Linked DNA regions of Canis lupus familiaris. The protein of the gene in region 1 interacts with the protein of each later gene in a biochemical or structural test. Links are inferred from orthologs where the notes say so. Each region holds a gene or a part of one and is shown on either strand. Other genes may lie near its edges.

The links.
Region 2: the proteins of CAV1 (region 1) and PTGS2 form a complex in vitro, tested with the Homo sapiens proteins (2 studies listed by BioGRID). The link is inferred for Canis lupus familiaris from reciprocal best matches to the Homo sapiens genes CAV1 and PTGS2.

The regions. Positions count from the first base shown.
Region 1 is NC_049235.1:55,584,161-55,600,738, forward strand, and holds the start of CAV1 (caveolin-1), read left to right. Parts: upstream 1-6,367; coding exon 6,368-6,397; intron 6,398-7,654; coding exon 7,655-7,819; intron 7,820-16,578. UniProt on the Homo sapiens protein: May act as a scaffolding protein within caveolar membranes. Forms a stable heterooligomeric complex with CAV2 that targets to lipid rafts and drives caveolae formation. Mediates the recruitment of CAVIN proteins (CAVIN1/2/3/4) to the caveolae.
Region 2 is NC_049228.1:19,547,305-19,561,826, forward strand, and holds PTGS2 (prostaglandin G/H synthase 2 precursor), read right to left. Parts: upstream 12,475-14,522; 5' UTR 12,456-12,474; intron 12,334-12,455; 5' UTR 12,326-12,333; coding exon 12,274-12,325; intron 11,577-12,273; coding exon 11,460-11,576; intron 11,345-11,459; coding exon 11,201-11,344; intron 10,655-11,200; coding exon 10,511-10,654; intron 10,097-10,510; coding exon 9,915-10,096; intron 9,336-9,914; coding exon 9,252-9,335; intron 9,152-9,251; coding exon 8,905-9,151; intron 8,620-8,904; coding exon 8,333-8,619; intron 7,969-8,332; coding exon 7,821-7,968; intron 7,687-7,820; coding exon 7,277-7,686; 3' UTR 5,650-7,276; downstream 1-5,649. UniProt on the Homo sapiens protein: Dual cyclooxygenase and peroxidase in the biosynthesis pathway of prostanoids, a class of C20 oxylipins mainly derived from arachidonate ((5Z,8Z,11Z,14Z)-eicosatetraenoate, AA, C20:4(n-6)), with a particular role in the inflammatory response.

The DNA.
Region 1 (16,578 bases):
TGACGTCCTCTGTCAAGTATCATATGTAAGAATCTTCATACAGGGCAGCCGAGGTGGCTCAGTGGTTTAACGCCTGCCTTCGGCCCAGGGTATGATCCTGGAGACCCGGGATCAAGTCCCACATCGGGCTCCCTGCATGGAGCCTGCTTCTCCCTCTGCCTGTGTCTGTGCCTCTCACTCTCTCCCATGAATAAATAAATAAAATCTTAAAAAAAAAAACAAAAAAAAAACTTCATACAGAAGTTGGCATTTAAGATTAAGAGATTTTTTTATCAATTACTTATTGGGAAGATTTTTTAATAAACTATGTATAGCTTTATGGGAACTAAAAGACAGCAAAAGGGTATATCTCATAAACTAGATTAAAACATGGAAAACTAAACCCAAAAACCAGTTCCTAACGATGAATACACTGAATGTAGATTTGGGATCTTTACGCCTTCCTGTATTCACACCCTGCCCTGGCCTCATTGATGAAATTCACTTCCCAACCCTTGACTTTGGCCTAGGTCACGTGACTTACCTTGCCCTACAGAATGGGGCAGTGTCATTTCCAGGTCTAGGCTTCCAGGAACCTATGGCATATTTTTCCTCTTCCTTTTTTGTATCTGCTACTTCTTGGATCATGAGAAGAATCTTCCCCAATAGCTTGAGGGTCCAAGGAGCACAGAGATATGGAACAGAGCCAGCACAGACTTACAGTGAAAAGCAGAGCTGCCCCAGTGGCCCTAGCCTACATCAACTGAGCCCCAGCCCACCCAACCCATAGGTCTGTGTGAACGAACGGTTGTTCTTGAGCTACTGAGTTTTGTAGTAGTTTATTGATGCCAAATGATTGTAGCACTAATTGATTGATACACCCTAAAATTCAGTTTTAAAATATGTAGTGGATATATGATGACAAAAAAGTGTTGTTTCACATCATCTTTCACTTTTAATTAGCTATTGTGATATCACTCAGACATAGCCAGAAAGCCTCATCCACACTGATTCAGTGTGTACAACTATACCTTTACCAATTTTAGTTAGGACACCAAGAAGAATTGTACTTTTCTACACAGGATTTGCTATCCAAAAGCTTTCCCAAGAATTAATCTTATTTCAATAATATTAAATAACCAGTCAGATTGGTTTGGTCTTGGATAACAAAGCATTTGATAAGAAAATTGGAAAGTAAACTGACATGATAGCTAAAGGCCAGATATATTATTCCACTATCAATATTTTGAGTTAATTAGAAGGATAAAAGCCTTAACACAAGGTTATCAATGAAATATAAATAAATGTAAATAATGGCTATCAATGAAATATTAAATATTTAAAATTTGGATTTAAGGGTTTGTTATAATTCAGAAATACCAGATAGAGCTTATCAGATGTTTCTGGCAAAATCTTGGCAGGATTTGGTTGAAGGAAAAAAAGAAAACTTAATGATGACACTTCTGATACGTTAACTTACGTTCTTTTCTAGTAGCCCCTGGAGCACTCCCTTACCCCACCCACCTCTAAGCCTAGGGAAGGATCCTTACAGCAGAAAAGCAGAGATAAGGCTTTTCTTGATTCCAAAACCCCTGGTGAATGCCTGGGGGAATTCAGGTCACACAAAAATTGTTGGGTGATATGCAAGCATGGCTTCCTGTGCAAGGGGGAGGAAATTGGGAAAATAAGCAAAAAGATTTTTGACATATGTGTGTCTTTAGCCAAGGCTCAGATAAATTAAGAGGATATAATCGCTAAGACAGTTGTGCCTCCTGTTTCTGAGTAGGGCCTGTGGAGATAGCAACCCCTAGAGTTTCTCTGTACCCCGGCAGGGCATTTCTTCTCTGCAGCACCTTCACCATGGGTGGCTCCAGGCTGCTACATCAGGCCTGCCCATTCAAATGTATTAGATGTAAATAGAGGCCCAATTAAAAAAAAAGCAAAAACAAAAAAAACACAGAAGTAGCAAAAAGTGTCTCTGGGCCTAAAGAGCATTTTGAATGAACATGAAGGACAGAGTAGCAACACCCTGAATGGACCAATGATTGAAGATAGACAGGATGATGATGTACCTATCAGCAGATCCAAGATGCACAGCGAAGGAAGAGACTCCTCCCCAGACCCACCCTGAGATTCCGTAGCAATTCAGAAGCCCCTGGGAAGTAGGTGCAATCCCAGCAAAATGGCAGAAAAGTTTCTGCCACCTGAAGGTATGGGGGGCGGGGGGGGGGGGTGAAAGAAATTAAGCTCTGTTACAAAAAAAGAGAGAGTTACATCTCACAAGGGATTTCAGTAGTAACCATGTTTTCTACTTTTAAAAAATCTGAAGCAAATATGGCAAAATGATATTTGATTATACAATTTGCCGTATCTTGGATGGTTAAGCTATGTTACAAGAAAAATACTTTAAAATATATTTATTTTGATTCTGAACCTGTAGGCTGAAATTTGTCCCTACCCCTAGCATCTGTTAAGACTTACGCAGTATCTTCTGTGCTTTAAGTGCATCACCTCATTAAATGTTCATGGCACCGCTAAGATGTCAATATGTGTTCCGTTTTACAAATAAGCGGAGTGAAGTTAATTTAAAAAAAAAAAAAAAAACTGGATGAAAAAAATATTTTCTCATCTTTTCAGGAAGATTTTTGAATGTACAAATAGTTGTTTGTTCTTTTTTAAGAAAATAAATAGAAAAAAATATTTAAAATACTCAAAATGGAAAGGCACAACAAGGAAGAGTCCAGGGGACCACTTCAAGCCAGAAGAGGGATAAAAAGGGATCAGAGGATTAGCCAGATTTTCATCTAGAAAGCTAATTTTTTTCCATATATAAATGGAAGGATGGAAGAAGGTAAAGCAGGTATGGGAAGAAGGCCTGAATGGAATTCAGTAGAAGGCGTGTGAGGTGGTGATGCTGAAAAACAGGATAAATGTTCAGCTGAACACAGAGCTTGTAAAAATGTTGGTATTTATGCATGTAAATAGACACCCTCTGAAATGTTCCCTCTTCCCCTTCTGACTTTCTCCTTAAGGCCCCCAACCTCCCAATGAGCTAGCAACTCACTAGCCAGCGGGACTCCAAGGCTCCAGAGCTGTGACCCACGTTGGGAACGCCAGCTGGGTGCTCTGTCACCCTGGTTGTTATTCTTTCTATATCACACCTAGGGGTAACTGTAATCTCTTTTCTGAACTCACTGACAAAGTCATAGTTGGGCAGTCTTGGGCTTCTCGGTGTTGATAAACATTGGAAAGGTTCCTGCTTCTTAAAACCACCAGTATCACTGTAAGCAGTCAAACCTTGGACTTCTAATCCTAGAGTGGAAATCAGCTGAAGCCAGTTTAGCGTAAGAGGACCTGGGGTGGTGGGGACCTGAGAGGTTGGGGAGCAGGGGCTGCAGAAGATAAGAGAACACAAAAGGCAACTAACTTCACAATTTTACCGTGAGTAGATCTCCCCAGGTTACTTAAGAATCCTATGTCCCAGAAACTACTAACAGGAACTCTAGTTATTTATCAACTTTAAAATGCTCCTTACTCCCGCAAAACTCTTCAAGAACAAATCATTTTTATGTATTTATTTATTTTTTCTTTTTTATGTATTTAGACTTCAATCTCCGCATCTCTAAGACAACTGATTTGGATGAATGGTGTCCCTTTTAGCTCTATATTTTTAGTAACCTATAAAGCATGAGCTGCCCTTTAAGGTTGCTTCTTTAAAAAAAAATAAAGGGGGGGCAAATAAGTCGCCATGTGGTCATTTTTTAGTAAATGATTTGGAGAAATTTATTAACTTGCCTCCAAGCCTAAAGTTATCTTTAGGGGTATCGAAGAAAAACTATTTTATTCATTATATCATCTATCCATTTCAGATCTTATACCTACGCTAACAACATTATTCATCTTTATTTCTCATGAAGGTGGAGCCAATTCTTCAATTCAGCTATTATAACCAGAATACAATCTGTTTCTTTTTGGGTCTAACTTCTTGTTGAGGCAGGTTAACGAAGAGTTTGTGGTTTTTCCTCTCATTAGGAATTCATTTTGGCATTGACAACGCTTCACTGATCATTATGATTCCGGGCGCTGCTGTTGATTTGGCTTCGCCATGGACCTGCCTGGGTTGAGCTCGTTAAGCATTCACTCACAGGCCTCCCCGGAAAGTCCATTCCTTGCTGGAATGCAGGACACACTCTCTCCCTGTTCCTGTTGACTTTTTTCACAGTCAAGATTACTCATCGCAGCTGAAGACTGAACAACAATAGATGGGAAACGGTTTCCACATTTTTCCATTGGCCATAACCACAACTGCTTTGTAACCAACGCTCATGAAGGAAGAGCTAGATGAACAGCAGTCCTCCAGCAACCGTCAGAGGTAAGCGGGGCACCGCACAACCCGGTGACCCTGACACCACTCTTTGCTAGCATGTCATGCTTCTTCACACACAATATGTTCAAAGAATCTACAAGTGGATTTTGGCAGAAATAAAAATTTTAAAGCCCAATTGTTAGAAGATCTTTAGAGTTCTAATCATGACTAGCCAGCATAATTAACGCCAACGTTTGTAACATTTCCCCTGCCATATAATTGAAACTGATCTTTAAAAAAAAAAATTGAAAAAAATTAAAAAATTAAAAATTGGCGCAGCCCGGGTGGCTCAGTGGTTTAGCGCAGCCTTCAGTCCAGGGTCTGGTCCTGGAACCTCTGGATCGAGTCCCACATCGGGCTCCCTGCATGGAGCCTGCTTCTCCCTCTGCCTGTGTCTCTGCCTCTCTCTCTCTCTCTCTCTCTCTATGTCTATCATAAATAAATAAATTTTAAAAAAAAGAATTTAAAGGTTGTATTGCTTTTTACCACCAACAATAGCCTGTCCTTTATAGTTCTTTTACAGTTCCATATATTCTAACTAGATAATCAATTCCAAGGGTCCCATCCTCTATTACCCGTTCTCCTCCTCCTTTTGTGCCTCCGCCTTTATGGACAGACCACCAAAATGTTTCCTGTAACCTGTGCCCCTTCAGATAGATTGTCAGATTTTCTATTTCAAGTCCTGATTTTACTTTTTTTAAATTTTTAAAATCATTTTTCTAATTTTACTTTTTTAATTATTACTTTTTATTTTTTTAAAAAAAGATTTTACTTATTTATTAATGAGAGACACAGAGAGAGAGAAAAGCAGAGGCACAGGCAGAGGGAGAAGCAGGCTCCATGCAGGGAGCCTGATGCAGGGCTTGATCCTGGGTCTCCAGGGTCAGGCCCTGGGCTGAAGGCGGCGCTAAACCGCTGAGCCACCCGGGCCGCCCCTCTAGTTCTCCTTCTGATTGCATATGGAGCCACAGGCCAAAAGACAGTGAACTTCTTGACTTCTCCATAGCCCAGATGTAAAACTACTGCTTATTGTTCCATTCACCTTAGGCGTACGCTTTATAAAAAGATAGCAGCCGCACATTCAGGAATAGAGAAAACATTTGCAAATAACTGCTAACGATTTGTTAAACTTCAGATCGGTTCCTAGAAGAACCGGGTCTCCTCTAACGCACGGGCAAGTGCATTAGAAAAAAAAAAAAAATAGAAAAAAAAATTAGAAAAAGTGCAAAGAAAAAGTCCTCTATGACAAACTTGAAGCTCCCACTAAATATTCCTACAACTGTAAATATTTTTACGTCTTTTGGAAATGTGGCACAACGTGTGGGCATAAGTTTCCAGAAAGTTCCAGAAAGATGGGCGAAGCCTGCCATTCTCGTTTGCTTCAGAGGGTTGGGGGGCAGGGCAGGGGGGGCTTTCAGAAGCGGCGGGGAAACTGGAGTTCCGCGTGTCTGTGTGTCCTGTCCGGGGCCGCCAGGTGTGAGCCGGCGCGTCGCCACCTGCACCGCGCGCGCACGTGTGCTTGCTCGCCGTCGGGGGCGCATCGTGCCCAAAAGTCCTGCGCCCTTTTTCGTCCCTTTCCTCCCGGTGACAGTGGGGGAGAGCTGGGCGGGCGGGGATGGGGGCGGGGAGGCGGCTTCTCCGCGGGCAGATGCGCGGGGAGGAGCGCGGGGAGGAGCGCGACGCCCCGCGCCAACCCCGCGCCCCCGCAGGACGCCGCCGCGAGCCCCCCGGGGACGTGCGCCCCAGGTCTAGGCCACCCCCGCGGGGCGCTCCCCGCGCGCTCCCCGCCCCGCGCCGCCGAACCCCGGGGATGTGCCCGGACCCGGCGCGCAGGTCCCGGCCGGGCGCTCGCGGCAAGCCCCGGGCCCGCGGCCAGCAGGCTCCCTCCCAGCCGCCGCCCCCCGCCTGCGCCTCCCCGCCCCCCCCCCCCCCCCCCCTGCACAATACAAGATCTTCCTTCCTCGGTTCCCTTGAATAACAGCCCAGGGAAACCTCGGAGCCTTCACCCAGCCACCGGCCAGCATGTCTGGGGGCAAATACGTAGACTCCGAGGTAGGCTCGCGGGGTGCGCGCGGGGAGCCCCCGGGGCGCCCCCACCCCCACCCCACCCCCACCCCACCCCCCGCGGTCGGCCGCCGGGCGCTCCCCCGGCGCGGGCACCTCCGAGGAATGGGCCTGGGCGGGGAGCTGAAGAGGGGGCAGGAATGTCGTCCAGGCTGCTCTTCGGAAAGGGGGGCCGGCGGGCCCTAAACCAGAGGGAGGCTGAAAGTGGGGGCGGGGGGCGCCCCGGGGTCCCGAGATGGGGACCAGAGCACGCTCCTGGGTCGTGGGCGGGCCCGGGGCGCTGCTTTAGGTCGGGACCCGCACGGCCCAGCCCCTGCGCGCTGGGGGGCTGCGATCGGGGACGCGGGGTGCGCCGCCATCCCCCCGCGATCCGGGGGACCGTCCCCGCCGCTCCGCCAGGCGCCTGGACCGGCTGGCACCGCCCGAAGCCCTCGGGCCGCCTCAAGAACCCTTCCAGCATCGCGGCGCCCGGCGGGGTGTTTGCAGAGGGGGGACCTGCCCTCCCCTCCCCTCCCCTCCTGTCCCTGCCCGCCCTCCCCTCCCAGTGCCACCCCTCGTCCGCGCGGGGATCTCGCTCCCCAAACTCGCCCTCCGCCCCGCGCCCCGCCGGCGGCCTAGGAGGGACCTGCGGGAGGTCGGGGAGGTCGGGGGCGCCGGGCAGGTGCGAGGTCGCGGTTCGGGGCGGTCTGCAGGGGGGCGGGGGGCGCTGCTCCCGACACGGGCGCTTTCGGGACGCTGAGCCCCGCGGGGGCGGGGGGCGCGGAGAGTGCGGCGAGCCAGCAGGTGTCGGGGAGGTGCGGCAGAAAGGGGCAGAAAGGGGGCCCCTCCGGGGGGTCCCGGGGGCTCCAGCGGGCCCGAGGGAGACGCCGGAGAGCTTCTGGAGAGCAGGGTGGGGGAGGGGCGCCCCGCAGCCGGGGACGGGTCCCCGCGGTCGCTGGGGGGCGCGCGGGGCGGGCGCGGGCGGGGGCGGCGCGGGTGCGCGCTGACCCCTGGCGGCGGGCGGCGGAGGCCGGGGCTCCCCGCGGGCACCGAGGGGTGTGGTGTCCTCGCCTCCATCCTCTTAAGCGCCGGCGGCGCCCGAGCGGCCAGTTGGCGGGCGACCTCCAGGGCCGCCGCACCGCTCGTTTTCCTTTTTGACATTTCCTTTTTGACATTTCCTTTTTCTGGCATTGCCTTTTTTGACATTTTCTTCCCATCTCCGCCCCCCCCTCCCGCACCCCGCCGTCCCCCCCCCACCCCGCGCAGGGGCACCTCTACACCGTTCCCATCCGGGAGCAGGGCAACATCTACAAGCCCAACAACAAGGCCATGGCGGAGGAGATGAGCGAGAAGCAGGTGTACGACGCGCACACCAAGGAAATCGACCTGGTCAACCGCGACCCCAAGCATCTCAACGACGACGTGGTCAAGGTAGGGGAGGCGGCCCCGCCCGCCCCGGGGCGCTCCGAGCATCCTCCGCTACCTGGGCCCGCGCGCGCTGCCTCCTGCGCTTGAGGACGCGGGGCCCCGCAGTCCCCCCACCTTGCCCTCCCCCATCACCCCGCCGGCTAGTTCGGCTGGAATCTCGCTGACTGCCCTCCTCCTAGAACCCCACTTCTCCCCGGCCAACACACCTCCAGATCTCCGCGACAGGTTGGCCCGCGCTCCTTGGGCGAGTGAGGCGCTTGGCCCTGCGGGGCACCCTCTTGCCTGTTCCCAGGCTTAAACTCTAGCGAAGGGGGGCGCCCTATTGCACCTAGAATTAAAGCAAGTAAGGTCACTGTGTAAGTTCTTTGTGGCTCGATGATCTATGGGATACCGAGTGGGCAGGTTGTCCCAGCTCAAATCAGGGTAACCTCAAGTTATTTTCTTAACTATAATAAGGTGGGTAAAAATGCTTCAGATTGATATATTATATATCACATATATGGAGAGAGAGCATCTTAACTGGAGGGGGAAAAAGTGGTACTCGTGCACGACCAAGCTAATTTCCACAACCAAAAATAATGAGCGCCTCTGGATTTCTCCCATAGACACCCCTAGCTAGGTATATAAAGTCACTTCTTTAGTGACTGCCTGGGTCAGGCTTCCCCGAGTTAATGAGACACTCAGGCTGGAGTTCCTTTTTATATTTTCAGAATGTGTTTGGTGATTTTTTTAAAAAAAAATAATAAGGCATCTGAATGAGCTATTGGCCAAACTTAGATTTGAGTCAGTGATCAATTTTTGATTATCATTATATTATTCAACTTTGACCCTCTTAGCAAATTAAGTCAGGGAAATTTATTGTCCGAATCCATCTGGATTGGGAAATCATGGGCTTGAGCCATTCTTGGCAGAGGGTTTTCTTTGAGGAGTGGGGAGGGCCAAGGAAAATCCTGGCCTGGAAGATTATAGCGTGAAGACCCAGTTCTGCACAACTCCAGAACAGCCAATGGGGCAGATGAGCAATTTCCACCTACCCAGTCTCCTATCTGGGGCTGGGAAGAGCCATAGTTCAGAGACTATGCACATTTATGAATAATTTATTTCAAAAAGGGAAACAATTTAACCTGTAACGGGAAGGAAAATGTAACTGTCAGAATTGACTCTCTTGGCTTGCTGGTAGAGGAAAAAGGAAAATTGGAGCATTAGTAGGTTTTTCTACTAGCCAGATTATGAAATATTTAAAAGCAGCAGCAATAAAAAAAAAAAGTAGCTTATAAACTTGAAATTAGAATTGCTAAAAACGATTTACTAAAAGCGTCACCTTAAAGAGAGGGAAAGACATTTTTGCTTTTTCTCCTTCTCATGTAGCTTTGGACAAGAAGAAGAGATGCCAGGAAAAGAGGCAGATTTCAGAAAGGGCTGGCTTCATTGGAGCCTCCCTGTTGTTCCACCGCAGTGTGAGTGGGGTTCCTGGAGCAAGCAAGCCTCCCAGGATGAGTCAGAGAGGCCAGCAGTGTGGATGTGGGTCTCCACACATAGCATGACTAAGCTGAGAAAGAAAGGCCCCACTGGGAAAAGAGACTTCAACGCAGATGGAAAAAAGGCATAACAGGCTTAGAGGAAATAGCAGTTAACAGAATAGCATTTCAAAGAGCAAGTGTGGGGATCCTCATATTAAAAAAAAAAAAAATTAAAAGGAAGAGTTGCAGCAAGCTCCTGCTGGCCTAGAGAAAGCAAACCCCTCCCATTTGCGCCTATGAGCAAAACAAGACACTCAGACAGAAAAATCCACCTTGGGAAGAATTTGGTAGGCCCATTTACTCAGAGGCCTAGTTGAGAAAGGACTTCGGAGGACTTCCTGCAGAGAGAGGCCCAGGCTACAAGTCCAATTTCTGTCCAAAGAGTGACATCTGCAGTAGCCCAGGAGGGGTAGCCTATAACCTGCAGAGACTCCTGTTTTAGAAGTGCTTTTCAAAAAAAAAAAAAAAAGTGCTTTCTATGAGTCCCAGCACAAACATGATGACAGAAACAAGTATGACCCTCTCCATGTTACACGGCAGTAAATAAACTTTCCTAAATTTTACTTTTGACAACATAGACTTCTTAAAATAACAAAAACATCCAAAGTTTTACTGTTAATGCATGGTAGCTTAAAATGTCAGGTAATAATAAAGAAACAGTGATCAGGGTACCAAATCAGGTATGGAAAGTTCTGTTTAAAGGCAAGCAGCTCTGTAAGAGCTGCCTTTGCCAATTCTATAATCACTAGCCAGTTGTGGCTCTTTCCGTTTAAATTTCAAGTAGTTAACATTATTATAATTAAAATTCAGTTCTTTAGGCACACTAGCCACATCCTGAGTTCTCAACACGAGGTTACTGGCTCCCAAATTGGACAGCACAGGCTTATAACATTTCCATCATCCTGGAAATTGCTTTTGGACAGCGCCAGACTAGTTCTTTACATTTTAAAAAGGCTCTTATACCAAGTTTAGAAAAAGAACTCTAGATGGAGAAGAAATGAAACCCTGATGTACAGTGTGAGGCGCAGCATGGTGTATCTGCACAGTATCCTTTCAGTCTCATAAAACAGCTACTCAGGGAGAGAAAGAAAAGTCAGCAGATTAGTCTATACAATTTAATTCCAAGAAGTTCGGTCTCCTACCTTACCTAAAGGTCTGCTGTACTATATTACATCTCTATAGACATTTATACCAAAATAGTAGGCTATGAATGCTTTTTAAAATTTCCTCTGATTAAAGCGATGACAACTTCAGACCCTTCATTCTCCCTCTGAAATTTCTATGTCTTCTTTTCATGTTCACATTTTCATTTGTATGTTTACTATGTACTTAACTGGAATTTCCATATAAATAAAACATCAGATTTATGATTCTGACATCATATTAGCCACCAATAAATTAATTTGTTAAACTCACCCTATGCTAGACTATACACTGCACGACATACTAGAAAGCATAATTCCTAAAATAAGTTGTAGCAATCACAAGGGTTAGAGTTAGAGAGACAAGACGCATATGGATAAAAAGTTTTAAAGAATACACTATAACACAATACTAAGTCACTGCCAAATGGTAACTAATGGATCCTTTTCTGCTTTGACTACTAGGAAACATAGTTAGATTTTAAGTTTCATTAATATGCATCACTACCCTCTCCCACTCTTGGTTTTGTATTTTCACTTTCTTTTTTAATTGACATGCTATTTTATGTGGTCTCTACTGTGAACCTTCTCATTATCATTTTGGTAATAAATCAAAAGCAAGCAGTATTTAGGGGGAGTGGGGGGGAAATAAAAAAAGGAAAAAAGTAAGCAGTATTGAATATTGAATAATAAAAAGGTTTTTAAAAAGTGAATGATACTATGTTGATCTTGGTAATCAAACAATGTAGGTGTATATCAGATCATCACATTGTACACTTCGGGGTTTTTTGGTTTTGTTTTCGTTTTAAGATTTTATTTATTCATGAGAGACACACAGAGAGAGGCAGAGACACAGGCAGAGGGACAAGCAGGCTCCCTGCAGGGATTGATAGAGGAGTCGATCCCAGGACCCCGGGGCCACGACCTGAGCTGAAGGCAGACACTCATCCACTGAGCCACCCAGGCATCCAACATTGTACACCTTGAATACATACAATTATATTTGTCAATTATTCTTCAATAAAGTTTGTTTTTTTTTAAGTGAATGGTATTGGTAGTGTTAGGGAGATCCTACTGTGGATAGGACAATGGGGTCGGGGAAGGAAGATGGATTCTAGATAGTTTAATAGAGAAGGGCATGAAGGAGTACAGTCTGAGTTGGATCATGAAGGGCAAACAGCTGAGAAAAGCACAGGAGGGCTTCAAAATAAGCAAGGCATGGAGATGGGAATGTCTCATACCGGGCATGATGGAAGGTTTCGTAGCCCATTTTGATTGAAAGCAGAGAATTCACGTGGCAGAGTGGTAGGTCATAAAGGTGAACGGACTGATCATGGCCACTTGGCAGAGGCCTTTATCCAGCACTCATGAGAAGTTTGGACTTTATCATCTCAACAGTGAGAAGGCAAGACTTCAGGCTTGAGTATGACAAGATGAGGGTGGGCTTTCTCAAAGATGACTGGCTAAGCTACAGGATGTGATGAAAGGTAGCCAGTCTGGTTGAGCAGAGAACAGTGAAGACGTAATTGCACTGTGGTCTAGACATGAAAAAGAAGGACAGTGTGCAGTGGCACTGGAGACAAAATCAGAGAAGCATAAAATGACAGGATTTTAGAATTGGAAGAGAACATAATGGCTCCCAGCCCAACTTCCAATCCCTTGAAAGAAATTTAAGGGCCATAGAAGTTTAAAATTTTTATCCATGTTTTCAGACGGTCACTGTGCAAAACAGATATTTTGAAATGTATGATAAAGGGAAGAATGGACAAGATTATGTGATTCATGTAGACTATTGCTATGAGGGGAGAAATGAATTGAGATGATTCTGAGATTAGTCCTGAGAAGAATCAGAACATCTGAGAGAAGACTTCTGTTTGAAAATAAAAATATACATTTGTAACTTTCCATCATAAAACTTGAATATAATCATTCTTAAATATGCTCAAACACAAAATTTTCTTTGGCAGCCAAAAAAAAAGTCATACACATGGTAATCAGATCGGTTCTGATTTCAAAATGACATCCCAACGTCTTCTTGATCTTTTTCAACTGGAAGGCATCCTAAAGTGATTGATTGATCTCAATATAATGGCAATTACAAATTCCATATTTATTTGATATACATATAATCAAAGCCTAAGATTTAAAAGATCAGATTGTCTCAAAGCCCTCAACACCCTGTTATTACTCTCTTCCGTTGGAATTGGTATTGGTTTCGTTTGTCTGTTTGTTTAGGAGACAGCTCCACACGATGGTGAGTGGTGACGGATATTTTGCCACAAATGAGATCATGCACAGATTTCAGAATCCCCTGCTTGTAAAGGAGCAGGATGGTCATTTTTGGCGGGAAATTTTCTCACATCACTGAGCAAAAAACAATACTAAAATGAGGGATATTATTTATTCTTACGCATCCGCAAACACTTTCAACAATGATATACATTTTAAGTGATTCTTAAAACAAAGTCTCTTCTTTCTTCTCCATCTCCTGTCACCAAAAAATAATTTGAACTATGAAAAATACCTTTGAATTATGAAAAAGCTCACGATGTGGCTTATTCTTCCAATTAATAGCAGTGTTGGCTCCATTTTAAAAGGGCTTACAGTGAGAACAGCTGCAATAGTAAGCAGCATCTGGAAAGTCCAGTAATTTGAAAAACCACCTGCTTATGGTCCTGCCCACTCAAGTCCATAAAATAACAGACTTTTTCATATTCTGAATGAAACTGCTTTTCAGTTTGCCCTACTTTTCAACATAAGTTCTCTATGAGGAAATACCCACAGAGAATTCGCCCCTATAAGAATGGGGCTGTGTGCACTGACCTGTGGGGTTCTGGGCCCTTTCATGATCCTTCTGGCTTGGTTTGTGTGGGGAATGGGAAAGACTGCTGTTTTCATACAAAGATTTTTTTTAAGATTTTATTTATTCATGAGAAATACAGAGAGAGAGAGAGAGAAGCAGAGACACAGGCAGAGGGAAAGCAGGCTCCATGCAAGGAGCCTGATGCGGGACTCGATCCCAAGACCCCAGGATCACACCCTGGCCCAAGGCAGGCGCCAAACCGCTAAGCCACCCAGGGATCCCCACAAAGATGGTTTATGCCAAGAAGCACATGCTGTCTCTTCTTCTACACTCTGGACCTTGTATATTATGTCCTTTATGGTACCCTAAGGCCATGGAGAAAGAGATTTGCATAGTATACTTCTTTTAAAAGAAGTTCCTAAAAAAAAGAAACCCTCAGCCCCTAGACAAATGCCTGACATATACCCTGATAGAGTGGAAAACTATTGCGCCAAGATAAGAAAAAATATTTTTGTGAATTTTGTAACTTTCTCCTCCAAAACTTGAATGTAATCATTCTTAAACATGCACAGACACAAAATTCCTCTTCTTTAATAGTCAAAGAAAGGCATGCACACAGTAATCGGGTCAGTTTGGGTTTCAACATAATGGCCTATTGCTTTCATGATCTCTTTCAACTAGAAAGCATCTAGTCCCATTAGTGTGGGACTGGACCCCAAGGAAGGAGTAAAGAATGTCAAGGCCAACAGGTTTCTTTCCCTCGGTAGTCCCTAAGAATTAGGCTTATAAATGGGATCAAACTTCTTTAGCTCATAAAAGCTAATAAACACCAGCCCTAAAAATATTTTGGGCAAGCTATTTTGTTTCTATGCTTCAATTTATCTAACTATAAAGAAAAGAATGAGAGTCATTCTCATACGATAGCACTCCCTCTGAAAGTCATCCACCTTTCAATAAATAATTATTATGCACCGTGCTGGTGGCTACCGTATGTAACTAGATATGAGCACCACTCACGCGGAGTTTATAGCTACTTCCTTGCTTCTCTTTATACAGTTTCCTTTGCAAACTTTTGTTGGAATTCTTTTACCAAATTCCACTGTCTGCTAAAACTTTATAACCATCAGGGCTTAGTTCAAAAAAATGACTCATCTATAATGTCTCTAATTGTTCCTGAGCCAGTAATCAAGGCATGGGCAAAATAAGAAACATATATATTTTTAAACAATTTGCCTCTGTTCTGGTCCTACACGAAATATGATTAAATTGTGGGAAATATTTCTGTTCTTCTTTCATATTCTCTCTTCCTGTATTGGCTCTCAACTTCCAACATTTGTATTGAAAATTTGAAATTTGCAGCTCTTTAAAAACCCCATAGACTCTTTACAAATCCAAGAGGGCTTTCAAATGTGGCTAGGCATCTGAATCACCGAGGAATTTTTGAAAACACAGGTGCTTGAGCTTACTACACAGATCTATTAAATTAGAATATGTAGGGCTGGAGCCTAAGGATCTATATTTTTCAAAGTTCCCTGTATAATTACATTGTGAAGTCAGATTTAGAAAGGGTGGCTTACAGACATACACTCTGGGTAGTTCTATCCCAAGAAAATAGAGGACTGTAGAGTAACACTACATAACTCTAGACATTCTCCTTGCCAGAAGAATATTTGAGGGTCAGGCCAGTTTGAACTCAGAGAGTTTCGAAACACCATGAAGAGCTCCCAAACCAACTTTGTTCAATGGTTCTCCACCCTGTGAGGCCACTTGGGCTTAGAGCCAACCATAAACTTAGCATTGCTGGGTCACTGGGAGTGGGGCAGCCATATGCTTTAGGTTGTCCCATACAGACAAGGTAATACTGATCAGCCCTGAGTAACTATTAGGGGCACTATCGATAGTGCCCTTTCCACATTCAGAAGTGTCCTAGCATGGAAGAAAAATTATATGGTCACAGATGGATTGGCAATGGCCTATAGCTGATTCCTATAACCTGGAAATACATCAGGAATCCCTACACACACTAATTTTTAGCAGAATGGGCATAATTTCCACGCGCCAGTCATGGCATGCCTTTGTTTCCTCGCTACTCTCCAGCATGACCCCTCTCTTACCCTTCATCACAGCCATCAAGCCGCACTATAACTTGAAGGAGGCACTCTTACAGGCCAACCTACTACACCCTCAAACCTTGGTTTCTTTCCTTGCAACATAGGGTTAATGAAAGTGACATCCTTCCATCACATATGTTGTCAGCTCCTCCATCAAAGATTAAATGTTTAAAATAGTTTTAACTATTTTTCAGTTAGTCCAGGAAACATAAAATGGCATGCTTTCACACGAACCATTGTTTAGGGTGGGGGAAGTGTTTTTAATTTTGTCTTAAAGGAAATCTGCATGATCCATGTACTGTGCAACTACCAGGGGAATTAATTGGTGGAACAGATTTACACCTGCAAGGAATACATATTTCCTGCCTCTCATGGGAACTATGTTGATGTTTCAGATATAAAATACATCTTGTTTTCTTTATTGAACCTTGAGAAGATGTCTTCTTGTCATTATTTCATGGCAGGGAAATACATATTCCTAAAGGCATAACCAAGCTTCCTCTTTAGTCATTGTCAGCTGTGTAGGTAATTAAGAGCCAGACATTTTTAATTTGGAGGAGGCTTAAATTTTGATACTATGTGTATGTGCTTAATAGCACTTAGAGTAATTTAAAAGTGAATTTTTTAAGAATTGCATTTCAATTTTCAATTCCTGAGCCCAGCAAAGACACTACAGTACAAACGGGCATTGATAGAGTCTACATAAAAAGACAAATTGTGTTTAGAGACTGCACTGGATCATATCCTTTTTGTTGTGGATTTCAAACACAATTACATTTTCTTACTTACAATGAGTAACCGGAAAAGATGCTGATATCTAGACCCAAGTAGTGAGAAAGTGGAAATCTGGGAGAAAAAAGAAACACAAAGAAAGAAAAAACCACAAGGCCCCTTCTCCCTATCCTGCCACCCACTCTGGGCTGGACTGAGCATTTTGCACATGCCAACTTCGGAATCCCCACGTCTATTTCTTTGCACAATGCTACCGTGTCTGAGGACAGTGTGGCCAGAGCAAGGGACACAAGCAGGACCCAGATCAGCAGAGCCTTTGGTGCCCGCCAAGGCATTTGTCCCCTTATAGGCCACAGCAATGCACTGAGGCATTATTAGGCCAGGAAGCCAACTCATGAGGCCATTGCTAATAGAGAGGGCTAACTGTAAGCAATGGGGCCAACCAAAGAATGCC
Region 2 (14,522 bases), on another chromosome or scaffold:
TGTGTGTGTTTTAATTTGTTCCTTTAAGTTGTGTTAGGGAAGGTAAATGGATACAAAGCAGTCACATTTAAATAATGTAACCTCAAAAAGAAAAAGAGAAAAGGAATATCATTATTTCTCCTGATAAGAAAACTGAAAGATATGATAATAGCTGCATTCAAATATATGAGATTTGCATTTCATTGACTTCCCTTGTTAGCTATTTTTTTCCTATGTCTAAAGACAAAATAAAAGGGAGTGGTTTGAGGGTTTAGTGAGTCTCTTGTTAGGAAAAGTTTTAAAAACCGATGTTTCCAGTGACTGAAGGAAGTCATGTCATCTCTTTATTTAATGATCGTTAGTACAGTTATATGGTTATACAATTGTAATATTTCTCAAGAAAAGAAGAATACATGATGAAAACATGATTTTTTTCAGCCAGGGAACTATTTGTGTAACTGAAATATTAATAGAGGACCACTGTTGTCCATGCTATGCCTCATAATTGAAAGAGCTTTGAAATTAAACACATTTGAGCTCTGTGGGTGCTTGGGTAAGTTATGGAATGGTTCTAAGCTTGTTTTTATCTTAGTGAAATGATAGTAACAATATTTTCTCCATGGGATTGTCATATAGAATAAAAGTAGCATTTACAATAAGATGATGAGTATATAATAGATAACAAATATATGCAGAAAATAAACATAGACCCCAAAAATATTGTTGGGAATTATCTATTCAGTCCCAGCATATTTTCACTTTTTTATTGCTGGGATATAAGTTATATTGGGATATAAGTTGTATTTGTCAAAATGCACATGATTATATGGACAGTTCAATGACTTTTTAGGACAGATATACCTGTGTCACTCATACCACTCTACTGCTACAGAAAGCTTTGTTATTTATGCACCTTCTCAGGTAATCTTTGCTACTCCCTTTCCCTCAGCTATGATTCTTGATTACTTTCCTTTTAGATAGTTCCTTATAGGACTTTATTTAATTAGAGTCACACAATATGTATTCTTTTGTGCCTTTTTTCCCCTCTACATGTTTTTGAGATTCATCCATGTTATCAAAAGTATCAGTAGTTCATTACTTTCTACTAATGAATAGCATTCCATTATGTGGAGATACCACCACCTGTTTTACCTTATCCCATCTCTTGCTGATGGAAATTTGCATTATTTTCCTTTTTTTTTTTTTTATTATGAGTAAAGTGGCTATGGACATTCCTGTGCAAGTATTTTGTGTGCACTTTTATTCATTTCTCTTACGTAAAAGCTAGAAGTGGATTGCTAGATTATAGGGTACATTTGTGTTTATGTAAAACTGCCAGATTGGTTTCCAAAGTGGGTATAATGTTTTACACTCCCATCAGCAATTATGAGAGTTTCATTTATTCCAGTCTTTGTGAACATTTGGTAATCAATGATACATATTGGTTCTTTTTCTCTCTTTTTCTCTCTCTCTTTCTCAATCTCCCTATTACTTGCAAAATTGAGAAGGAAAGTGAGAGAACATCAGGGATTCAGTTTTACAAATAAGAGAGACAGGGACAGAAACAGAGACAGATTTTAAGGGATTGTGGAGGCTGGGATACCTGAAATCTTCAGGGCAGGCCAGCAAGCTGGAAATTCAGGTAGAAATTGATGTCAAGTCTAAATTCTTCAGGGCAACAGTCTGGAAATCCAAGTAGAATTCCTGTGTTGCACTCTTAAGGAGAATTCTCTTTTGGGTAATGTCAGTCTTTGCTTTGTAAGGCCCTCAACTGATTGCATGAGGTTCGCCATAGTATGGAGAATAATATGCTTTACACAAAGTCTACTTATTTCAATGTTAATTATATCTAAAAATTCTTTCACAGGAACATCTAGACTGGTGTTTCACCAGACGAATGGGCATCGTATCTTAGCCAAGTTGACATATAAAATTAACCATTACACTTAATCTTTTAAATTTTAATCAATCTAATAAGTGTCTAGTATAGCTTACCATGGTTTTAGTTTGCATTTCCCTGATGACTAATGATGTTCAACATATTTTCATATACTTACTGGATATTCATATATCTTTCTCAGTCAGTTTCTGCTTATGTCTTCTGCTTATTCTACTTAATTTTTTAAACTATTTAGAGTTATTTATATGTTCTATATTCCAGTCCTTGTTAAATGTGTGTGTCATGACTATTTTCTGATCTGTGGCATGTCTATTCATTTTCCCAGCATAGTCTTTTGATGAGCAACTTTTCTAATTTTAGGAAGTAAACTTCGTTAATCTCATTGTTCTCATATCATTTTTTGAAAAGACTTTTGTTGGTTTATCCATTAGATTGCATTGCTACCATTGTCAACTATGCAGTTGTCAGAATGAACTAGAATCTCCATCCTAATTCTGAATTTTTTTTCGAGAGAATTTTATTTTCCCAGCTTGGTTAGGTATCCACTCTAAGACAGTCTATTGTGGCAGTTTGGATAAAAGTCAAGGAAATCAAATTACAAAAGTGGCCTGTAAACTTATTCTTGCCAACAAGAATGGCATTGCATCTCTTCCTTTTAAAAAAAAAACTTTTTATTTTTAAATAACTATGAATTTGCAGGAAGTTGCAAAGAAATGTATAGGGAGATACCATGCAACCTTCATACCACCTCCTCTAATGTTGACATCTTACATAATTATAATCCAATATCAAAATCAGGAAATTTACCTCAGTACAACCCACAGACTTACCCTGATTTCACCATTTATACATGCATTTGTGTGAGTGTATGTGCATAGTTTTATGCAATTATGTCACATCTGTAGCTTTGTGTAACTACCACCTCAATCAAGTTGCAAAAATATTCAATCAGCACAATATCAGATCATATATATAATAGATATATTATATATATGATAATAGATAACCTTGTGAGACTGGCTTTTTTTTTTTTTTCACTCAGCATAACTCCTTTGAGTTCCATTCAAGTTATTGCATGTATCATTAGTTGTGTTTGTTTCACTACATAGTACTGCATGGTGTGGCTCTACCACAGTTTGCCACAGTCTGTTTAACAGTTAACCTTTTGAAGGATATTGAATTATTTCCAGTTTGGGGCAATTATGAATAAAGTTGTTATGAACTTTCATACACAAATTTTTATGTGAACATAGTTATTCTTCTGGGATAAATGCCTGAGAGTACAATTGCTGGCTTGTATAATGTGGTAGGTAAAATAATGGTCCTCCAAAGATTTCTAGACTCTAATCTCTAGAACCTGTGAATAAGTTGCCTTACATGCAGGGCCCAGGGGACTTTGTGTATGTGAAAAAAATTATGAATCTTGAGGAAGGGAGATTTTCCCAGATTATTTTTATTGGCCCAAAGTAATAAAAAAAGGTCCTGATGAGAGGGAGGCAAGAGGATCAGAGTCAGAGATATTAGAAGGTGCTATCCTGCTGCTTTGAAGATAAAGAAAGGGACCATGAACCAAGTAATGCAGTTAGCCTCTTGAAGCCAGAAAAGGTGAGAGACAGATTCTCTCTAGAGCTTCCAGAAGAAACACAACACTACTGACACCTTGATTTTAACACATTGGATCTGTCTTATTTCTGACCTCTAGGACTGTAGATAATAAATTTGTGTTGTATGAAGCCAGTAAATTTGTAGTGATTTGTCATAACATCAATAGAAAACTAATATACATGATAAGGGAATTTTTAGTTTTAGAAAAACTGTCCAAATATTTTTTCCAGAGTGGATATCTCTGTCTTCTAAGAGCTTACTCTTTCTTTAAGAATCACCATATATTTTACTTTTTTCATGAAGTTTATTCTTGTTCACCTACTGAATATTTTGTAATGCCCTTTAAGTACCAGACACTGTTCTGAGAGCAGTAAATAATGCAAACAAGGTCCTTGCTTTCATAGACATGAAATTCTACTGAGGGGACACAGATAATAAACATACAAATCAAGATAATAACAGAAACAAACACCAAAAAGAAGATGAAAGAGCTTAAAGAGTAGTTAGTTTGGTGATTGGAGAAGGCCTTTCTGAGAAGCAGACATCTGAGCCAAGATTTGGACATTGAGAAGGTTCTAGCCATGTGGAAATCAGAAGAAGGAGCATTCTAAACAGAGGCAGCAGCTTGAGAACCCCTGATGGTGAACAAATCAGAAGAAAGCAGATGTGGTTGGAGCACAGAAAACAAAGGTAGGACATTATGGTAGATGAGATCAGATAGGCAGGGGTCTGTCTGATTACTGAGACACTTTAAGATAGGATGAGGAGTTTAGGTTTATCCATTGTGTAATAGGAAGTCATTGGAAGATTTCAACCAGGAGAGGAGCATATCTGATGTATGTTTGAAAATGATCACTCTCATCATTATAAGGAGAATGGTTTGGAATGAGGCAAGAATAGAAGGAAGGCCAGTTGAGAGAGAACTGTATCAACTAGGTTAGTAGTATTGGAGTTAGAGAAAAGGTGAGAGGTGTAGAATTTGTTTGTAGTTATAATCAACAAGATTGCTGTGGGATTGACTATGGGTGTGAAGGAAAGTGGGGTTTTTTGCTTGAGAACAGCATGGTGGTGTCCTTTGGATGATTATTTTGGATTGGTACAAAGAGGGCAGAGATTGTAAAATAGGACATTAAATGTATGGATTTGAGTGGATAAGTTGTCAATTGACAGTTTGAGATTGTTCTGGAGAAATGTTTGGGAGTGATAATTAATGTTTCAAGTTCTTAGATGAGATTAACCTGGAAGAGGGCGGATAAAAAGCAGGGAATTAAGATACTACAATTTATAGATACAGTGGAGGATGAGATTTTTTAAGTCTGAAGGTGAAGACCAGGAAAGTATCAAACCAAGAAGCCAAGGGGAAAAAAATCTTTACTGAAAGAAACTACAGACATTTGTGCTGAATGCTACTAAGAAGTCAAATAAGCAGATAAGGATGGCAGAAATGAAATCAAGCCTGTTAAGTGCAATGGAGAGAAAGTAGACGAGTGATTGTAAGGAAATGAGATAAATGAGGGTAATGAATAGTGATGAGGCCAATGGATCAGTAGGCTCAGTGGAACTAGAGAGGGAGTAACATGTTAAAGTGTGAGTACTAAGATAGGTGAGTTAGAAGGGGAGTCAAGGAAGATGCTTGAAATCAAGATTTTGGTAATGGTATAGCAACTGATGATAAGATCAAGATATGTATAGTCATAGAAAATAAGGTGGAAGAAGCCATCACAGGAATGAAGAAGGTCAAGGAAGAGAAAAGCCGGGTAGGATGTTAAATAGGTGGTCCATGTGGATATTGATATTATCAAATTACCATGATTGGGAAAACAGAAGTCCATGAGCCAGGTATCAACTGAATAGAACATCTCTTTGAACTTCTTAATTTTGTACCTTAATTTTGTACCTTTATTTTGTACCTTCAAAATAAGACATTGTCTTATTCTTTGCCTTCTGTGTACTTTGTACTTGTTTTTTTTCCTTCTAGATTAGGCAATCAAAACACAATTGTTGCTATCTGATAGCACAAAGCACACATTTTCCAATACAGTGTTATAGTGAACAAGGGATAACTGATCCTAGGATACCTCTGATGGAGGGCAGAATCATTTCATTAACAGCTAGTCTGGTTTGGAATAGATGCTTCAGAGAAATCATACATCATGACAAAGATATATGGAAACAGTCAAAAATTTATTTTAGAAGAGATTTTTCATTCTTAGATAGTATAAAAATAAACAGGCATTTGTTAACACTTACATCTTACATAAGTTAATTTAAATACACATTTGTCTGAGGCACCAAAACATTCATATATTATACTCCGAATTCAGTCGGCATTGATATTAATAACAAAATTTCTTTCAGTGAAGTTTTTACATAAGCCCTTCTAATATTGACTATTTCTTAACTTTTTAAACATAAAATCTTAAAAATTCCCCTGAGTTATTTCCTTTAATAAAATTTCATTTTCTTTCTCTACCTAAAGACATGCTTTCTCATTTACAAATACTGATGTTATCTGTAATCAGTGCATGATTTAAAAATATTAGAATCCACAAAAAATATTAAAACCCACAGTGATATTTGCACCTGTGTCCTCAATAAGTTATAGCTGAATGACTTAATGAAGGATCCATAGGTCCCTCAAAACTGTAAAGATCTTATGGTACATGCAGGTTAATGAGACACAGTGTTCTCTGTGGGCTGGTATATAGGGAAATCTATATTTCAATTCCAACTTGCCATATTTCAATATACCAGAGTTGGGTTCCTGAAAATTTACTCACAGATCTCAAATAATTTCTCTTAGTGTTTACATAATAATTCAGAGTTAATCTCAAAGAAGATATACTGATTCTCACATAATGCAAAAAAAAAAAAAATGATTGCAGCTTAAACCTAGTTTATAATAACATCCTAACAAAACAAATAATAATCCTCAATAAATTAAGTATACAGTACCAGCAAATGTCAGCTGACAATGAGATGTGGAAAAGAAACATTATCTTCCCGGGAACTATTCAGAATTTGACTTTGCTTTTAAATGAGAAAGGATATTCTTAATAGAAATACGACTTCCTTCCATCAAGAACCCCCTACAGTTCTTTGTCAGTCATTAGCCTCATTGAAGCCTTCTGTTACAATTTAAAATTTACAAAAAGATCGCTGCCTTTCACTTAAAATAAGTGTATACTGTTGTGTATAGAGTCCTTTAAGGGCTGTTTTTTTTTTTTCCTTTCATTCCTCTTAAGAGGAGCTAAATTACTAGTAGTCCTGAGTTGAGGTTTTCCTGAAAACTTACACAAGTTCAGGTAAGAAAGTATAGACAGAGTCCAAAGAAAGGTATACTCAGATCTTAAAAATCAAGGAAACAAGAAAGTAAACTGATCAGAAGAGAGTTTCTACCAGCACAGTGGCTAACAGAAGAAAAGAAAGTGTGCAGGTAGTTGCTTCTAATGCACCAGGGAAGATACACTAGAAATCCCGATAGTGTCGAAAAAAACTTGCAGCATTTTGTCATCCTGGAACAGCATTTAAATATCCAACATCTTCGCTTTTGTTCATAATAATAATATAAACTGAAATTCAAGTAAAAGGATGTCAAACTCATTTATAAAACAGAAAACTTTTCCTCTTTAACCCGAAGACATCTTTAAAATAGTGACATGAAAATCTTCACAAGTATGACCCCTTTCTCCTTAACAGATGTTAAGTAACATAAGGAGTTTAACATAAATATTAAATAATTAAGTTAAAAGGAATCGTCCATATAAATAAATAAATAGGATTAACAGGCTTCTATAGTTCAGTTGACCGTTCTTTCAGTAGGACTGTGGGATTGATGTCATCTAGACCGGAGTGCGAAGAGCTTGCATTAATGGTGACTGTTTTGGTGAGTTGTCCGTCTTGAACAGAGAATGCAGTGAATGGACAGCCCTTCACGTTATTGCAGATGAGAGACTGGATTGAGGCAGTGTTGATGATTTTAAAGCCTACTTCTCCACCAAAGGTGCTAGGCTTCCAGTAGTCAGGTGAACAGATGGGATTACCCATAAGTCCTTTCAAGGAGAATGGTGCTCCCATTTCTACCATGGTCTCACCAAAGATGGCATCTGGACGAGGCTTTTCTACCAAGAGGGCAGGATACAGCTCCATGGCATCAATATCACCATAAAGGGCCTCCAACCCCGCAGCCATTTCCTTCTCTCCTGTGAAGGTGACAAAAACAGATATTCAACTAATGTATAAAAAACTTTACCAAAAAAAAAAGTTTTAACCCTTTGCTCAATTCCCTTTCAACTTGTTTCCATTTGACCCTTGATTCTTAAGAAGTTTCTCTCACCTGTAAGTTCTTCGAATGATGTATAGGGCTTCAGCCTAAAGCGTTTGCGATACTCATTAAGAGACTGGTATTTCATCTGTCTGCTCTGGTCAATCGAAGCTTTTGCTACTTGTTGTACTGCAGCTGGAACATTCCTGCCACCGGCAACCTATGGGAAATGAATTAAATTGTAGAATAAGGTCTTAGGCATCTTTATGATGATCTCTACTTTAAAAGCATTCATTCCTTGGGTACAAAGGAGGGAAGACTAATGCTCCCAGCTGAGACCCAAAATAAGTTAGAAATATTTCTATAATCTGCAGATTCTAATTATAGAATAGTTTTCAAAAATATTAAGCTATGACTACATATCGCTATTTGATAGCTGGAGACTACAAGTTTAGACTTCCAAAAATTGGGCTTTTTAAAAGAATTGGCTAGCAAAATATTAAACTTTCAGTAAGAGTTCAGAAAGATCACTTTGGTGGCAGAAATTCTGATTAGTCCTTTGTTTTTTCAATAACAAGGCTTACCCTGCCAGCAATTTGCCTGCTGAATGATTCCACAAACTGGGTAAGGCCATGTTCCAATAATATAGAGTTGTTGTAGATAAACTGTTGGAAATTGTACTCCTGGTCATCTATTTGCAAGGTGTCAGGCAGGAGGGGATGCCAGTGGTAGAGTGTGTTAAACTCAGCAGCAATGCGGTTTTGGTACTGGAATTGTTGGTTGAAAAGCAGCTCTGGGTCAAACTTCAGCTTGAAGTGATAGCCACTCAAGTGTTGTACATAGTCTTCAATCACAATCTTAATGGTTTCTCCTATTTACACAACAACAACAAAAAAATTAGAGCATTAATTCTCTGATCAAGCAACTGAAATGCAATCTTGTTAATCTGCTATTCTTTCACTTCTATTTTGTCCTGGTTTACCAACAAAACAGAAAAGTATTAATACCCTCAATCACGCTCAAAGACTGAAATATGGAGCATGTGATTTTCCATTCACTACATTCTCCCAGAATTACTTAAAACGGATAAAAAGTAACATGCCAGCTTTCTCTGGGGGAGAGGGTTTTATTGAAATTATTTTCTCTTCTTGCTTACCTATCAGTATTAGCCTGCTCGTCTGGAATAACCGCTCATCATCCCATTCTGGGTGCTCCTGTTTAAGCACATCACACACTCTGTTATGCTCCCGCAGCCAAATGGTGGCATACATCATCAGACCAGGCACCAGACCAAAGACCTCCTGGCCCACAGCAAACTGCAGGTGTTCAGGAACATGAGGTGGGTAGATCATCTCGACCTGAGTATCTTTGACGGTAGGAGGATACACCTCTCCATCAATTACCTAAGAAACAACAGTAGTACAAACATTAAATTTTAATCAGGGGAAGTTTTTAAATATGGGTTAGTTGTGAGTCAATTCTTAATATTCCAATGGAACAAACCTGATATTTCATTTTTCCATCCTTGAAAAGGCGCAGTTTATGTTGTCTATCCAAAGTTTCCCCATAAACATGATTTAAGTCCACCTGGAAGATTATGGAAAAATTTTAATTTGTTGCTGTTGAAGTTCTATAAAGTTTCTATAATGTAATTCATCATTAAATAATAAATAATTTGATAAAACACGTTTCTCTCACAACCACTAAATAGTAAATTAGTTTGTCCTCTGACACTACAAACCTATGTCTTGTGTAGAGTTATAAGTATATAATATGCTTCACTATATGGTATTTCCTTTAATAAGCATCAGAAAATATATTATTGATATAAAATTCTTACTGGTAAGTTGGAACTGTGTAATAATGCTGCAAAAATCTCAATATTTAAAGCAGCATAACCAGAGTACAAATAGCTTTTTCGAAGATGCAACTTTTTGCAGTGCTAATATTTTAAAGTAAAAATGTAAGATTCAAATTACAAATAATAATGTCTGTATATATGCGTGTGTGTGCTTGAGTATTTTTACTAAACAAGTGAATTAAAATGGAAATTCCACTAAGGTTTTTATAGATGGAATTTTTTAACAAGGGAGTGATTTGGTGTGTATATATATCTCCTTCATATCAGTACTCAGTATGACTTTTGCTATAATTTGAATTTCTTACCCCATGGCCCAATCCTTTGGTGAAAGCTGGTCCTCGCTTATGATCTGTCTTGAAAAATTGATGGGTAAAGTGCTGGGCAAAGAATGCAAACATCATATTGGTGCCTTGGGGATCAGGAATGAACTTTCTTCGCAGAAGAAACTTTTCCACAATCTCTTTTGAATCAGGAAGCTCTTTCTTGCCTGAAGAATGAGAAAGCTAAGATAAGAATTCATTTACAAGTTCAAGCAAGCAGTGAATGTCAATTTAGTCTGGGGCTTTCTTCACTTACAGGAGAAATAAAGGTGTGAACTGTATTCATCTGTGTAAATAGGATTATAATACAAATGGAAGTTCTAAGATATAGGGAAACATTGAATAGTTTTACTTTAACTAGTATTAATTTGGTTTTAGTGAAAGAATTTGAAAATGTGAAGATATTATACCAAAATGTCCACTTTCATAGGATAGTTTAATAGTTTAGAGATTCACAGATATCCTCAAGCAAAAAATATGCTTTTATTAACAAATAAATGATAGTTCAGGGCTGAATTTTCTAGGTAGCAACCCAATCCCTATTGCAATGAATACATGTCTAACTGCCTCCCCGTACTCACCTTTCACACCCATGGGTGTTGGACAGTCATCAGGTACAGGGGGAAGAGCTCTGGTATAATAGGAGAGGTTAGAAAAGGCTTCCCAGCTTTTATAGCCGTAGTTCACATTATAAGTTGGTGGACTCTCAATCAAATGTGACCGGGCTGAAATTTAAGAAAAAAAATATTGTTTTATTTGTTCCTATACGCAAGACATATCAATGTTCACTTTTATTGTACAAAGTGCAAAGTGGCACTAAAGACCGAATTTAATTCCATCAAAGATAACCTATTGTAAACCAGTGGTCCATGGATATTCAATTAACAACTGGACCACGCTTCTTTCAGATTGGTAAGAGCAGTGAATTTAGAAGAGGTATACAGGATTGTAAGTAGAATTCTGAATTTGAGACAGAACTTTACAAACTGAATGGGACCGAAATGTCAATATTTTGGGCCATTAAGATAGAGGGCAAAGGGGCGGCTGGGTAGCTCTGCCCTTGGCTCAGGTCATGATCCCAGGGTCCTTGGATTGAGTCCCTTGTCTGGCTCCCTGCTCGGCAGGGAGTCTGCTTCTCCCTCCACCCCTCCCCCCACTCAGGTTCATTCTCTCAAATAAATAAAATCTTAAAAGGTTTAATAATCTAAAGTCTTATAAAGAACATTTTTCTTTGAGGAAATTGAAAACCTTAGAAAGAGACTTGTACTTACATGTCAACACATATTTCATAATTGTATTTCGCAGGAAGGGGATGTTATTGACAATGTTCCAGACTCCCTTGAAGTGGGTAAGTATGTAGTGTACTGTATTTGGAGTGGGTTTCAGGTATAATTTTATTCTTGTCAGAAATTCCGCTGCAAAAACAGAAGAGGGAAAGATTAATAGGACCCATTATGAGACACTAGTATGCAAATTGGTAACTGGACATATCCCCAGTCCAAATGAGGGCACCCCCAAGGGCACACTTACGTGTTGAGCAGTTTTCGCCGTAGAATCCTGTTCGGGTACAGTCACACTTATACTGGTCAAATCCTGTGCTCATACAAATACCTTGGTTTTGACATGGGTGGGAACAGCAAGGATTTGCTACAAAAAAAAGTAAGGACAGTAAATGATTCATTCTTTAATCTTCATTTAACATTGAATTGTATGGATCAACTTTACATAAATAAATTCAAGAAATCTAAATTCAATAAGGCCAACAACGTTCAACCAGGGAAGCGATGTTGCCAAGCTGTCTTTAGTAACTTTGGAGATGTTCAAATTAGCATTTTTAAGGACCTCACAGAAGTAGCACCCTCAAAAGTCAAGTGGAGGTATCTAGTACAATTAATCAAAATGTGGGAGAAATTTCAGCGTAAAAACAGCTTATTGTTAAAATGTTTTGCTTATCTTCAAAAAGTAACCTGGGCTTTCCTGGGTCAGGAAAGCACCAACTAGGGTACGTAAACCAGTTCCTCCCACTCCCCAAGAGCAGAACATCTCCTATATTGATTGATCCCGAGCCTTATCATAATGACCATCGGCAAATTAGTATCCCTACTCAGTCCTACGTATTAGCGGATGACAAGGGAGACCCACACCCGCTAAGTGACTGGCTCAGGCTGAGCAGAGCAGGTGGCAAAGCTCGGAGAGACACCCAGTCCTTGGGGCCCCAAACGGTCCAAGCCCTTTACCAGGTCAAACATCATCAAAGCCCCGAGCGGGTCCCGGCGGTCCGAGCGGAAGCTCCGCGGCGATCACCCAGCCGAGGAGTCCCCGCGGCGGGGAGCCAGGTACCCACCTGCGCGGACGACCGCCAGGGCGGCGCAGAGCACCAGGGCGCGGGCCAGCATCGCGGCGGCGGGCGGGGCGCGGGCGGAGCGCGGGCGGTGGCAGAGGCGGCGGCGGAGGCGGAGGCGGCGGCGGAGGCGTTCCCGTCCTGGGCTCGGGGCTGCGGCGCTGGAGGAGGCAGGCGCTGTGCGGAGTTCCCGAGCGTGCTCCAGACGCTCGCTGCAAGTTGTTTGACAACTAGTCGCTAACGGACGGAACCTTCCTTTTATGCATGATAACTAAGCCCACGTGACGCATGACTGTTTCTTTCCACCCCCCTCCCCCCCATCACTCTCCCCTCCCCCTGTCTACTTAATAATTGCGTAAGGATTTTTTTTTTTTTTTTTGACTCCACGCAAATGAGAAAATCGGAAACCCGAGAAGCTGCCTCGGACTTCCCCAAGGGGGTGCAAAGCGAATTGCCCCCCTCGGTTCCGGAGGGCGATTGGCGCCGGATTCCCTTTCTCCGCAGTCTTTGACCGGGAGCTTCGGAGAGCGCGCGGGCGCCGCGGCGGGTCCCCCTGCCGGGAGGGAGAATCCGGGGCCTCCTCTCCCGGAATCCGAGCGGCCGGAGGTCCCAGGACGCAGGGAATCTCCCCGCGCGGCCACCCCCGCGTCTCATGCCCAGGTCTTTGCGGGCCCGAGGAGTCACAGTCTGGACAGACGGGGCCAGGAAAGGCTGACACGGGTTACGTCATGTATGTCAAACATGTCATGATGTTCGTGGCGACCCGTCACCTAGTGTACGTGTAGCACATACATCCATACATTACGATTTTCTAAAAATTTTGGCTGAATGAAATAGAATAGCTGGAGTCAGTGTGCACATCTGTAAGCTGTTGGTTCCTCGCCCCAGGACTGCTCCTAAGCGGCGATCCTGCCAACAGTCGGTCCGAGCTTGAGCTACCGTGTTTCCCCTCTTGTGATGAGGGATCTGCCGGGATGCTAAAAGCTCAGCACATCTGCTTTCGTGCATTTCTTTCACCACTTTGGCCACCAGCCCTTCACAGGAGATACACGGAGAAGAAACTAGTTTTTTTTTTTTTTTTAAGTTTGCTTTTTTTGTCTTTCTGCCCACTTTTCAGAGACGAGGAGGACTGTGACGGTGGATCAAAATACAACATTGCATTTACTTTTTTCAATTGGGCTTAAGAGTGCAAATTTTCTATTCTCATTTTGGAACATACTTTGATGAGGAAGTGAGTAGAATGGGTGGAAAAGACGGATGATTTTGACAATTTAAAATTTCATCGTCCTTTGCTTTTATTTAATATCTTTTGGTTGGTGATGTAAGGGCGAAATGAGAGAGAGAGAGAGAGAGAGGAAAGTTAGTGACCAGCAGCAAAGTGGAGAATAACAAGTTCTGTTAAGCCATACATTCTTAGCACTAATAGAAATAACAGCATAGAACCTAAAGTAAAACGACACCGGATACTTCAGTCTGTAGGAGTCTTGAAAAAGAGACTCACTTGGAATTTTTTTTTTCTTACCATTTTGCTTAAGGTACACAATATCTGATTTTTACATGAGACACAAATGACTAAAATTCCATCTCATCCATGAAGCCTTTTTCCTCCTCTAGTCATATTTAATCATTCGATTTGTGACACTCCCATTTATTGTATTAAATCCTACGTGAAATTAAAACTAAGAGCATAATTTTTTAATAATTCCATTTTCTATTAAATGAGTAGGTTGTATGTATTCAAATTTTAAAGTGATATTTAGGGCCACTCATTTGAGCTTAATTTTTAGGTGTCATGTAGGAGTCCATACTCTGACTCTGGTAGTGTACTAAAGTTTTACATTGCAATCCTGAATTCGTGTTGAAGTCCTCATCATCGATATCCTCCTTATTAGATCCTAATGTGGAGACTGAATTCAAAGATGAGGACAAAACAGTCTAGAGAATAATCACATTTAGACTACTTGGAATGTAAAGAAATTGAACTCTCGCTCACAGTGGAAGTTCAATGAAAAAAATCTATGTGGTTCAACTGCTTGGTTTAACCTGTAACTTCAGTGGCATGATAGAATGGAGAGATTTCCATGTACCTCTACAGTCAGAAGAGAGTTCAAAGAGAAAATGACACTTGAAGGATGGACACAGTTTAGAAAGAAGTCCAAGTATGGGCTTGAGGAAAAACCATTAGGATATCATTTATTAAGTAATTTTGACAAGTCTGAGACCATGACATAGAGTGGATAGTACATTTGGGA